2 linked regions of the Schizosaccharomyces pombe genome follow. The protein of the gene in region 2 interacts with the protein of the main gene of each other region in a pairwise test. Each region holds a gene or a part of one and is shown on either strand. Other genes may lie near its edges. The genes, in order: dpb2 and mcm5.

Region 1 (4,956 bases), on a different chromosome or scaffold from region 2:
TCCTAATTACGATGGAAAACCAAGGGTAAAACGAACTACCGGAATACCTCGATCTTTTTTGAAAAACGTTGAAAGGCCTGCTGAAGGCGACGCTGCTAATATTATGATAAATGCTGAAGGAGATTATGTTGTAGTACAACCAGACGTAGCGTCTTGGGAAACATATCAATCTCGTAAAGCAGCTTTAACTGCGAATGACGTGTATAAAATGCAGCCTCCGAACATTTCTTTGGCATGTACATTATGTAAGAAATTAGCAAGAAATGCTTGCAGAACACCTTGTTGTGATAAACTTTTTTGTGAAGAGTGTATTCAAACGGCTCTTTTAGATTCGGATTTTGAATGTCCAAATTGCCATCGAAAAGATGTTTTGTTGGATACTTTAAACCCCGATTACCAAAAACAGAGGGAAATTGAGGCAGTCGTCAAATCTGTACTCGGTTCTAATAGCAAAAACAGTGATAAGGTTGGTACTTCTGACGATAACAATACACCAATGTCTGAAAAGCGCAAGCGTGAAGATGACGATGCAAATGGACCTAACAAATTTGCGGCAAGATCTTCTGCTGTGTTTTCCAAAGCCACCGCTGAACCAGCTTTTAAGTCAGCTATGGCCATCCCAGATATGCCATCAATGCCTCATGTCCAAGGGTTTCCGGCTCCTTTTCCCCCTTTTATGATGCCAGGCTTACCTCAAATGCCGCCTATGATGATGAATGCAATTGCTGGCCAAGTATATCATAATAATCGAAATCCACCTCGTACAAACTCTCGTCCTTCAAATGCGTCTGTTCCCCCACCATCCTCGCTACATAAGAATCCCCCTACTAAAACAAATTAGTTATTACTTATTTCTGATTTTCTTGTAAACTTGCGTTTACTGTTTACGTTGTTGAAAGTCCTTTTTTCAGCTATAATAGGGACAGTTACACATATTCATTCAAAAATTTTTATACTAATACATTCAATTAATACAATCTAATTTATGGAGCGTTTTTTTAATATGAGAGTAAATTCATATCTATTGACTTTTGAATTACTTCGAAGTGGATTTAAAAGTATTTAGTATCATATTTACATCAAAAAATGGATTGCTAACGGATTTGATGCTCAGCAAATTACTGCTGACGCTGATCAGGTGCCTTAACAAAAATTGTAATCTAAGAAATTAAAAATACTCAGAAAGTCATATTATATAAATCAGTAGTAATGTATTTTTTTTTATTTATTTGCAATATTGCAATAAATTTTTCAAAAAGCTTGTAGTAATAATAATAGAGAACAAACAATTCTTAGACTAAAGTTTCCGAGTAGAAGGATCAAGGATTCAGTACTCCTTAATTTTACAAAAGAATATTTATAAAAATAAGCTAATTTTCTAAATCAATTGACATTACAATTCGCCGATCAAATGTTTTATCAGAGAATATTATAAAATCAAAATATTTAGCTAAGCGAAATTTAAATGTATTTTCAATGCTAACAACACGTATTCAGATAATCTATTTATAGGCTTCTCGAAATGTTCCTATTATATAAAACAGCTTAGTTTACCTAAGTTTTACTTTATTTATTAACACATAATTTCAGCTTTCGTAAAGGAATTAATTATACTCAACATTTTGTTAGACATACTATAGTACGCTATGATACAGTACGTAGAGAATCACTATATATCATGTGTCCTAATTATTCATCGTACCACGTATGATACGATATTGAAATTGATTTTAATGATAGTCTATTAAGACCTATATCATTTAAATACTATTAATAGAGTTACTGATAAACTTCGTTCGTCAGTTCAGTTATAAGCTATGTTAGTGATAGTAACGCTATAAGTTGGATAGTATAATATCTATACTTAGTTGCTACTTATATTACCTTTATATCGCAATTTAATAGATCGCAAGAAAACCTCACCGCAATTCAGCGTATCGTTAATATGGATATTAAACTGCGTAGCTGACACAGTTTATGATTTTATAGTAGTGCGTTAAAATATTTTAATGAACCAGATTGAGAAGTTAGCATTTAGCATTTTGATATTAGACAAACAGTGAATAAAGGGTACACCATAGCTATCATCTACAGTAGTCCTTTGAAACTTTTTCACTTGAATCCAAAAAATTATTGATTACATCCTATGTTGATTAGAAAACCATATACATTGATCTGTCCTTGATACAGTGAGTGGGCACTAAACGATTCTATAAAATCAAAAAGCGAAGGGTTTGCATTAATATATTTCTTAAAATAGAATGAACAATTCCATTACGGATTCGGTAGAAAAAAAACCTGAACAGGTTAGTTTTGAAGTTCAACCCAATGCCCTTCGTCCGGTTGCTTTCCACGTATTTACCAGGAAGTACGATCTCAATATTAATCGTGACTCACTGCAGGAATTAGCATCTTTCGTATCTAAAAAATGCGGCTCACAATGGCGTTCCCAATGTGAGCCCTTACTAGACGAAATTGCAAAAACTTGGAAACGAGTTCATGAAACTCAACCTATAGTTACTCGACCTCTTTTGATCCCTGTCTTGGCAAATTTAAATGTTCCGCATGAAGTTCGCGTATCTTCCTTAGCAAGAGTTCAAACGCTTGAGACAACCGGTTCATTTTTAAATTCGAGTAATTCGGAAATCCGTGAAACTATAAAAAATGAGAAATACTTTAGAGTCCTTGATGCTTTTAAAATGCCTAAATTTAAGTACGATTCATCAAGAAAGGTTTTCGTTTTATCAAAACAGTCTCCTACTTTAATGGCATCTGCAAGTGCCTGCACAGATATGCTTAACCGCAGATTCAATGTTGTATATAGCCGTATTTTACGCAATGAATCTTTTCAAACACCTTCTTTCAGTGGCTCTTTCTCTCAAACAGGTACATATCAATTAACTCCTATTCGCAATTTATTAGGTCGAGCTGGAAACACATTTTTGTTGTTCGGACTCTTGACTATAGCTCCCGATGGTACCTTATGGCTGGAAGATCTTGACAGTCAAGTTCAACTAGACGTATCACAGGCAGAACAAGGGTTCGGTCTCTTTTGCCCTGGCTGCTTGGTACTTGTTAATGGTCAATTTCTAAGTTCTGGGCTATTTTTAGTTTTTGAGCTTGGTCATCCTCCCATTGAACGCCGTGATGCTTCCTTGAAGGCCCTTAATAATTTAGATATTTTGGGGTTGAATATGGATGCAAAGCAACTTGCTCTTCTCCGTCACGCGGAACAGGCATATCAGTCACAAGCTTTTGTTTGTATCAGCGAGGTTCATCTTGACAACCATCAAACTTTCTATGCATTAGAAAAAATATTCCAAAAATATGAATCCTCTGAAGCTGTGCCGTTTTGTATAATATTATGTGGAAGTTTTATGTCTTCCGCTTTCCATAATTCAGGAAGCTCAATTCAATATAAAGAAGGATTTAATAAGCTTGCAGCTTCTCTTGAGAAGTTTCCAAAAATTTGCGAAAAGACAAAATTCATATTTGTCCCCGGTCCAAACGACCCTTGGACGACAAATGGGATATCCTTAATGCCTAAGCATTCAATACCCCTTCATTTCGTAAATCGGATCCAACGCGTTTGTAAGCATACCATTTTCGCTTCAAACCCTTGCCGCATCATTTTCTTTTCTCAGGAAGTACTAATTTATAGAGACGATATATCAGGAAGATTTCAAAGGAATTCATTAAAGTTTGGGAAGACTCCCCAAGGTACCTCCAATATTAATTCTATACCCCTTGCAGAACAACAAGTGCATCAGCAAAGAAAAGTAAGCAAGTTTCTTATAATTTTTTTATGCTAATTTGTTTAGTTGGTTAAAACAGTTTTAGATCAGTCTCACCTTTCACCGTTTCCATCGAGAACACGACCAATATTGTGGGATTTTGATTATGCTTTATCAGTTTTCCCGCTTCCTAGCTGTGTACGTTATAAATCTTTTTTTTCTTTGCTAATATTTTTAGATGGGTCTAATAGATTCTGAGTCGTCGGCGTTTGATGTTCATTATGGAGGTTGCCCAACTTTTAATCCCGGTGCTCTTTTACTTGGCGTTCACTATAATTGGCAAGAAGTATTTCCAGTAAAAAAAGAAATAATTACACACAAGGAGAGAATTTAGGACTCAAATCTTTTCCTCATGTAACTGTATAATAATTGCTTAAAAAAGGCATTTCATTCATTAACATGTTAACGATTTTTAAGTTTGTTACATTTTACTGAGCCCCGAATAATAGAACGTTTATGTTAATTAAAAGATAAATCCAAGTAAGATTTCTCGTAAATTAGTAAACATTAATCAAATTAAACTATAAAATTAAGATTAAGGGTTAGTAGGAATAATTAAAAAAATATAGAAAACTCCCTACTAGAAAACAACATTTGTAAAATTCAATATCACTGCTGCGTACAACAACTTCCATGGAGGCAATCAATAGGTGCTATTAGCCTTTAAAAGAGTTGACCGAGTACACAGCATCAAAATACAGAACAACAGTTAATTTTTCCAAAAGGAGCACATAAACGATAAGGCATTAACATAATTCAAAAGGGCATAATAACAAAAGGTTAGCAAACGCTTTACAAGGCCTGACTTCATAATCAAAGAGCCGTATAAGTTGTATCTCACTTCTTATAACAACGGTTGGACTGCATAATGAAAATATACCAGAGATAGCACAACAAAACAAGCAAAGAAAAATGAAATCCATAATCTTTTATGGAGCAAGTTTCTAAGCATTTTCGTAGTAACATCACCACTTTCCTGACCAGACCTTCTACTTGTTCGAAAGGGCTCCTGAGAAGTGGAGGATAATTTTTTGTTAAGTAACGGTGACTTTGAGGTTGTAGGATTGATTTGCAAAGGCGATGTTGCCAAACCTCTAGCAGTGGTAGGACTATTACATCTAGTGTCACTACTTCCAACCATGCTGGAAAATTTTGCAGACCG
Region 2 (7,600 bases):
GCTTAATCCTTCGAATAGACCTGCCTATAGAAAGTACATCTAAAACTCCAACATGAGTTTCAATTCACTTGAATTTGTATCTCTGACATAACTATTTAAATGAATATCTATCAGCAAAATGTCTTCCGCTAAATATAAAACAGATGAGAATTTTCATTCTACAGCATAGTAAAAGTCATATTTCTCTAATTAATGAAACAGCTGTCTTGTATAAACACTCCAGTTTAATTGAGCTTGCTTGAAAATTCCATGTCGAACTAATACTCTACATAACAAGTAAATACTTTAAAACTAAGAAAATCATTTCATAGCAGTAGACCTTTAGAAGCTACAATAACATGGAATGCCCTTAGTCTGTGAGCCGTAAATCTTCATTTAAACACGGCTCTCAATAATCGATCTGTACAGATTACTCACAACCAAGTGCAAAACATATTTATATAAAATTACAGTCATTAGGTTTTCTTCATCCTACTTCTAATATAACTGAATAGCTTTTTTCTTGAATACATAGTCTATACTAGAAAACTGTTTGCTTCTTGATATATTACAAACCTTAGCGTACTACTACTTCCATCTACTCTCCACTCCCCTTCACTTTTATTTAGCAAGAAGCAATTCTAATTCATTATAATGAAAGCAGTTCAACGTATTTTTCAAACTGGCCGCTTTTCTGTCGCCGCAGGACCCTCGGTTCGTTTTCAAGCTGGGTTTTTAGCTGCAAACAGACAAGTTCGTTTTTCTAGTAACCACGGGGTTTCCTTGGAAGAAATAAACACAAAGTATGTAAAAAAACGACGATAAGGGAATAGGTAATTGTTCGGCATGTTGCAATGCCTGAAAAGTAACTCCATTCAGCACTTTTATTATCAAATGCGGAAATAGGAATGCTGGGAACTGCAAAGAATAAAATGAACACGAAAGCAGTCTGTTTTATCATTGACTTTTGAGTACCCAATACTGAAAGTGGTTTGAATATTTTCATTTTAGCATCTCTAGAATGATAGTAAATGAGCGTTCATAGCTATTTATTTGTCTGCTATTTTTTGTTCTTTTCTCAGTTTTCACGTTTTTAGTTTTTACACAAGAAAAATTGACCATTTTTCCTTCTTTGGAAGCTTATTCTTACTTCTGCTCTGCTCTGCTTTTCCTTTATTTAAAATTTCTTGTTTTACTGTTTACTAACTACGTAGGTATAACGATTTCTTTTCAAATGTTCAGGATCAATTTGAGCTCCAAAGAGGCCTAAATAATTGTTTTGCCTACGATATCGTGCCTTCTTCTGATGTTATTGAACAAGCTTTACGTGCTGCTCGTCGTGTTAACGATTTCCCTACCGCCGTAAGGATTTTCGAAGGTATTAAAGTGAAACTACCAACCAAAGAACAGTACCAAGCGTATGTTAAGGAGCTTAAGCCTGTTTGCAATGAATTAGGTATTGTATTGAAGGAGGATCTTTTTAAGTAAGTCCGATTAAGTTTCTTGATCTGTCTCCTCTTCTTTTGAAATTTGTAGCTCTTTACCACAACTCTCCTTTTCTTGGTGCTTAACTATGATTTGCGTTTTTCAAAGGACTTTAAAAAAACTGATTTACTGATTTTGATTATCATCACTTTTTTTCTGTCCGCACGCAATGATGTTTCTTTAGGATTAAGAAATTATCAAATAAAAATGCCAATACCATTTCTCATACAAACAGAATTGCTATAGTAATCTTATCTCTTTTTCTTTTTTAAGTCTAGTATAGCAGTGAATCTGTAACGATATACATCTTCATTTTGTTCACGTAGAAAATAGCTTGCAGTTAATACATGTTTACTTAAAATGTTAAAAAAAAAATTGTAAGCAGACTATCTCCTTTTAACAAAAGATTTAAGGGTGTAGTTGAAGTTCGTTTCAGCAAGGGCAATATGTATTAGTCCTTTCACCAAACACCACAGAGGTTGTTCAATAATATATTTTACAGCATTACATTCGTTTCTTCACGCGTAAAATATTTATTGCAGTTACATGTAATTTAAGAACATATTTATATCATTTTTGCAACTCATTCTGTAAAGGTTTTGAAGAGCTTTTCTAATTTTTGTTTTATTTTTTCGAAGAGCAGCGAAATTTGCTTCATCCTTTATTTTATACCATATCATCTTTTTTATCTCGCTTTTTTATTTTTTTTTAACTCATTCCCCTTAGTCTTTTTCATCACAATAATGGCTGCAGCAACAGGTTGGGAACGGAGTGCTGTATATTATACCCCAGTTCTCCCAGGAGAGCAAGAATTAGATTCCAATGTTAGTCATGAGAAGAATTTCATACAGTTTATTGAAGAATTTGTGATTGACAATGACTTTATCTATCGTACTCAACTAAGAGACAATCTCGTGGTAAAACAATACATGTTGAACATAGATCTTAGGCACCTGATCAGTTATAACGAAGATCTAGCTCATTTGCTTCTGAGTCAGCCGACAGATATTCTACCTCTGTTTGAGTCTGCTGTCACTACAGTTGCTAAACGCCTACTTTATAGAAGTCAAGAAAATGCTTCTACGAATATCCCCACTTGCCAGGTAACTCTACGTTACGATGCTAACATCCTTCCAATCCGTAACCTGACAGCTTCTCATATCTCAAAACTGGTTAGAGTGCCTGGTATCATCATCGGTGCTTCAACACTTTCCTGCCGTGCAACTGCTTTGCACTTAGTATGCAGAAATTGTAGGGCTACCAGGATTTTACAGATTTCTGGTGGATTTTCAGGTGTTCAGCTTCCTAGAGTTTGTGAAGCTCCTGTTCTCGATGGTGAAAAAAAAGACTGCCCGATGGATCCTTTCATTATTGATCATTCAAAATCGACTTTTATCGATCAGCAGGTGCTTAAACTACAGGAAGCTCCTGATATGGTTCCTGTCGGTGAGTTGCCTCGTCATATATTATTGAATGCTGATCGCTATTTAACTAACCAAATTACTCCGGGAACCCGCTGCGTTATTACTGGCATTTTTTCTATTTTTCAAAATAAGTCTGTTAAAGCTAGTGGTGCCGTGGCCATTCGGAACCCTTATATCAGAGTCGTGGGTATTCAAATGGATTCAAATGATGGCTCTAAATCTACTCCTTTATTTAGTGAAGAGGAAGAAGAGGAGTTCCTTGAAATTTCTCGTACTCCGAATTTGTACGATATTATATCCAACAGCATATCTCCCGCTATTTATGGTAATGTAGACATCAAGAAAGCTATTGCATGCCTACTTTTTTCAGGTTCTAAAAAAATTCTCCCCGATGGTATGCGCCTTCGTGGTGACATTAATGTTTTACTTCTTGGTGATCCTGGTACTGCGAAATCTCAATTTTTGAAATTCGTTGAGCGACTGGCCCCCATCGCTGTTTATACTTCCGGTAAAGGTTCAAGTGCTGCTGGTTTGACTGCTTCTATTCAAAGAGACTCAGTTACCAGAGAATTTTACCTTGAAGGTGGCGCAATGGTTCTTGCTGATGGTGGCATTGTCTGTATTGATGAATTTGATAAAATGAGGGATGAAGATCGTGTTGCTATTCACGAAGCAATGGAGCAACAAACTATTTCAATAGCTAAAGCCGGTATCACTACTATATTGAATTCTAGGACATCCGTTTTAGCTGCTGCTAATCCAATTTTTGGCCGATACGATGATATGAAGACACCAGGTGAAAACATTGATTTTCAATCTACGATTCTTTCAAGATTCGACATGATATTTATTGTTAAGGATGAACATGATGAAACAAAGGATCGAAATATTGCCCGTCACGTTATTAATCTTCATACCAATTTACAAGAATCTAGTGAGACTTTAGCAATTGGAGAAATTCCTTTTGATAAGTTTCGGCGGTACATAAACTATTGTAGACAGTAAGTATACCAAATTTAATATTAGTTACTAATGGATTTAGCAAATGTGCACCTAATCTTGATGCAGAGGCAGCTGAAAAGCTATCTAGTCAATTTGTCGCAATTCGAAAACGTGTTCATCAGTCAGAGCAGGACAGTAACTCGCGTTCTACCATTCCAATCACTGTTCGTCAATTAGAGGCAATCATACGAATTACTGAATCCCTTGCAAAAATGTCATTATCACCTATTGCTTCTGAAGCTCACGCTACTGAAGCGATTCGACTGTTTTTGACCAGTACACTTGCTGCTGCTACACAAAGTTCGCCTGAAGTTACTGAGGAAGTAAAAAAAATTGAAGCCAGCTTAAGAAAAAGGTTACCTATAGGGTTTCAGGCGAGTTACCGTATGCTTATACGAGAATACGTAAATGGGGTATGTTTATTGATTAAATCTAAGTCTAACATAATTTTAGCATGGATATTCACAACACGCGTTAGAAATGGCTTTACAAATTCTTTCGTCGAAGGAAACAATTCAACTCAGAAATGGCGGACAAACGGTGTATCGATCAGGAGTATGAAATTTAGCGAGCGTACTATTTATTAGATGATATAATTTACAAATATAATACATGATCGTGATAAGAAATATCAGTCTCGAGAAACTGCAATACTGCCACGTGCGTTGTCTATGGAAAATCCGTGACGACGTTGATAATCTTCTTCTTCTTTCAGATTATTTTTTTCAGAAGGAAGAAGGATGGCTCGATCAACAGCCCTGGGTAAACCTCTATGTCTACCGCGCAGTTCAAGTGCTATAATAACTAGTTTACTTATAGTAGTAAATCTTGCTGAAAGTGAACAATTTGAGGAGCTTAATCCAGTACTAAGTCCCACCGTACCGTAAGCAGAGACTACTTCAAAAAGGACAGTAAAAATACTGAAATCGGTATCTAGAGGATTGGAGATTTTACCTCCTTCACAAATGCATATGATGAATAGCCCTAGAAAAATATACCATAAATCGTAACTTAATTGTTCAGTAAGGTGATCTTTTAAGAAAGATTTCCCCTCATCATCTTCAGTTCTGTAAACACCCAAAGATCGCTCCTCATAAACATTGGTATTTCTCATGTTGATAGCAACTGGATAAACAGAAATATACATCATAACCATGTAACTGACCAGTACTGCTGGGTGAAGTTCACTAATTGATACACTCGTGAATCCTGCGGTTCTTGTACAAACTGATTGAAATATTGCATTTACAACCCTAATACCTTTAGGAAGGCTAGCGACTGCTTTACTTCCAGTATCTAAGACCATGAACAATACCAGATCAATGACATTAAGCAGCAGCAAAACAAAAAACAAGACCCAGGTTGCTCCAGATGGAAACAATAAAGTGAAACATCGTCGAGGATGATCAAGGAGAAATGCCATAGCTTCTTTCTTCTCAAAACTAAAAGGGTATAGCTTATACGTTGTCCAAATGAATGTTCTAAAAAAACAAGGGAATCCCGTGTTACCTGCGATAATGAATAAAGATGAAATCAACAAAAGAAAAATGTTTCGATTCATTGGCACAAAAGACGATGGTATTAAAGAAAACCCCAAATCATTAAATGAAGAAGCAGACGAGAATAACGCCCACCACCCACGACGTAAGTCATAAGAATCTATTACCTCTCGCGATCCCACTGCCGTATAAGCAAAAACAATGAAGGTCACAAAGGCAGCAATATTAAAAATGATAAAATAAAGGGTAACCATGGAGCAGACGCATTTCAAAGCTCTATATTCAATTCCACCCAGCTCGTCCCGCTGTTCTTTAGACAAAGCAACGAAAGCAGAATTACGATCGACAGTAGGATTATACGACAAATAGGGAAGTGACATAGTAGTGTGTCTTGATGAAATAGAAGGCTCACGTTTTTTAGCAAAGGCAGAAGAAAGGACTCGTTCAAGAGTCAAGTTTCGTCGGTTAGAAGTGAATGACTTTGTCCAACGTATTGGACGATGAAGTCCTCGCGAAAATCTGGAACGTAAAGATTTTTTATAAAAACGACTTTTTTTTCTAAGTTTAAGATTACGTTCACGCTCTATGGTGGGCTTATTAAGTCCGGTGAAAGCAATATGCATGTCAACTGTCGATGGTTCAGTGTCTTTAGATAGGGAGGAAGAAGACAGAGACGACCTTACTATTCCGTCTATTGTATTGGCAGGCCTTAAACCACCTTCTGGGAAAAGATTGTCGTCCCCAGTGAGAGTAAATGAATCCCTCGATACAACCAAATTAGTATCAGAATAACTATAAGCCATAGGGAGAGATTCCTGAACTAAGGCGCCTTCAGATAAAGTTTCACGGGTGTCGTCAGCCTCTAAAGGATTAACGGAGGAAATAAAAGAGCTTTGTCTACGAAGTCGGGGATGAAGGTCATCCATTTCATACATTTGCATCGAGGCTGAATGCGAACTACCAAAATCGTAATTTTTATTTTCAATGGAAGGTTCATAGTCATGAAAAGTCATGTTGTGACTTTCCAAATCCATGTCTAGCGTATCAGACTTTTTTGGGAGATACTTTCCAAAATACTCGTCTTTAGATATATCTGCCTTGGGAGAAGGGGGGTTGTCAGGAAAGTACGGATTGTTCGTACTGTCATGCGTGTCAAATCTCGAGAAGTTTTTTAGAGACGTTGGACTCCTTAGTGAATGTAGGTATGGTAACATTACACGAATTTTTCTACCACGAACACCCTGTTCTTCGTCATCCTCGCTTTTTTTCATTAAGCTTTTACGGAGCTTTCTCTGAAATTTTCGAGTACGATTTTGACGAACAACGTCTTTAAATTTTCGTCGAAACCAATACAGCCGGATGAAGGAAATACTTCCGTGCATCCATATAGGAACCGTAATAGCAGTAAATCCATACAGGATAAACTGCTGCCAGATAGATAAAGAATTTAAGTCAACACTGTTAAGGCCTGTTTGGGTAGTTGCGCTGCTAGCTAAGAATAAAGCATCGATATACTTGATTTTCGTGGTGGTCCCTCCGGTAAAAAGTAGGATAGAGGCAATGATAGTTAAGGATATAATGTAAATATAATGAATTGCCAAGAATCCAAAAGTTGGTATCACCCACTTGAACCATCTTTGAATGTAATTTAGGACCATTTATTTTAGTCAATACTTCCAGCCAAACCCACCAACAACAGAACAAGAAACAGAGAAATTGGTTTGAAGTTAACGGAAATCCTTAACTATGGACAAGATAAGAAGCAATTAGTTTTGAAATCTACGGGTAAAAGCGATACTGATGAGGAAACCACTAAATTTCTAAAAGGGAATTATGACAAATGACAAACGACATTTTTACCCAATCTTTGACGATTCCTTTCAACAATACTTGAGGATTCCTCTCTTATAATACAACGTAAAATCGCGTCTTCTTTCCCGTAGAAGGTAGTTTCTAAGCGGTTCAAAGTTTCAGCCTATACTTCGACCATGTTGTACGCTTTGGGCAGTGAAGTGAGATTGTTGACGATCTTTAACATAAATCGTTGTTGTTCCGTAAAAAATGTTAACAAGATTTAGAGTGTTCAAGTACTTTTTACAGGTACCGTATTTAAATTAAGGAAAGTCCAAAAGTTCGCATAACAACGCATAATATGAATTGATGTAGCCTAACAAAATGCACTATCTATGAATTTTACGAACTAGCAAAATT

The links.
Region 1: the proteins of mcm5 (region 2) and dpb2 interact in a two-hybrid assay, tested with the Schizosaccharomyces pombe proteins (one study listed by BioGRID).

The regions. Positions count from the first base shown.
Region 1 is NC_003423.3:3,656,058-3,661,013, reverse strand, and holds dpb2 (DNA polymerase epsilon catalytic subunit B Dpb2), read left to right. Parts: upstream 1-2,083; 5' UTR 2,084-2,261; coding exon 2,262-3,779; intron 3,780-3,821; coding exon 3,822-3,932; intron 3,933-3,972; coding exon 3,973-4,128; 3' UTR 4,129-4,266; downstream 4,267-4,956. Other genes in the region: mpe1 (RBBP6 family ubiquitin-protein ligase E3), read left to right, coding at 1-841; protein vac7, read right to left, coding at 4,639-4,956. UniProt on the Schizosaccharomyces pombe protein: As accessory component of the DNA polymerase epsilon (DNA polymerase II) participates in chromosomal DNA replication.
Region 2 is NC_003424.3:2,813,735-2,821,334, forward strand, and holds mcm5 (MCM complex subunit Mcm5), read left to right. Parts: upstream 1-1,926; 5' UTR 1,927-2,207; coding exon 2,208-3,889; intron 3,890-3,930; coding exon 3,931-4,303; exon of another isoform or gene 4,304-4,343; coding exon 4,344-4,451; 3' UTR 4,452-4,521; downstream 4,522-7,600. Other genes in the region: cox6 (cytochrome c oxidase subunit VI), read left to right, coding at 634-782, 1,194-1,467; plasma membrane potassium ion transmembrane transporter Trk1, read right to left, coding at 4,522-7,047.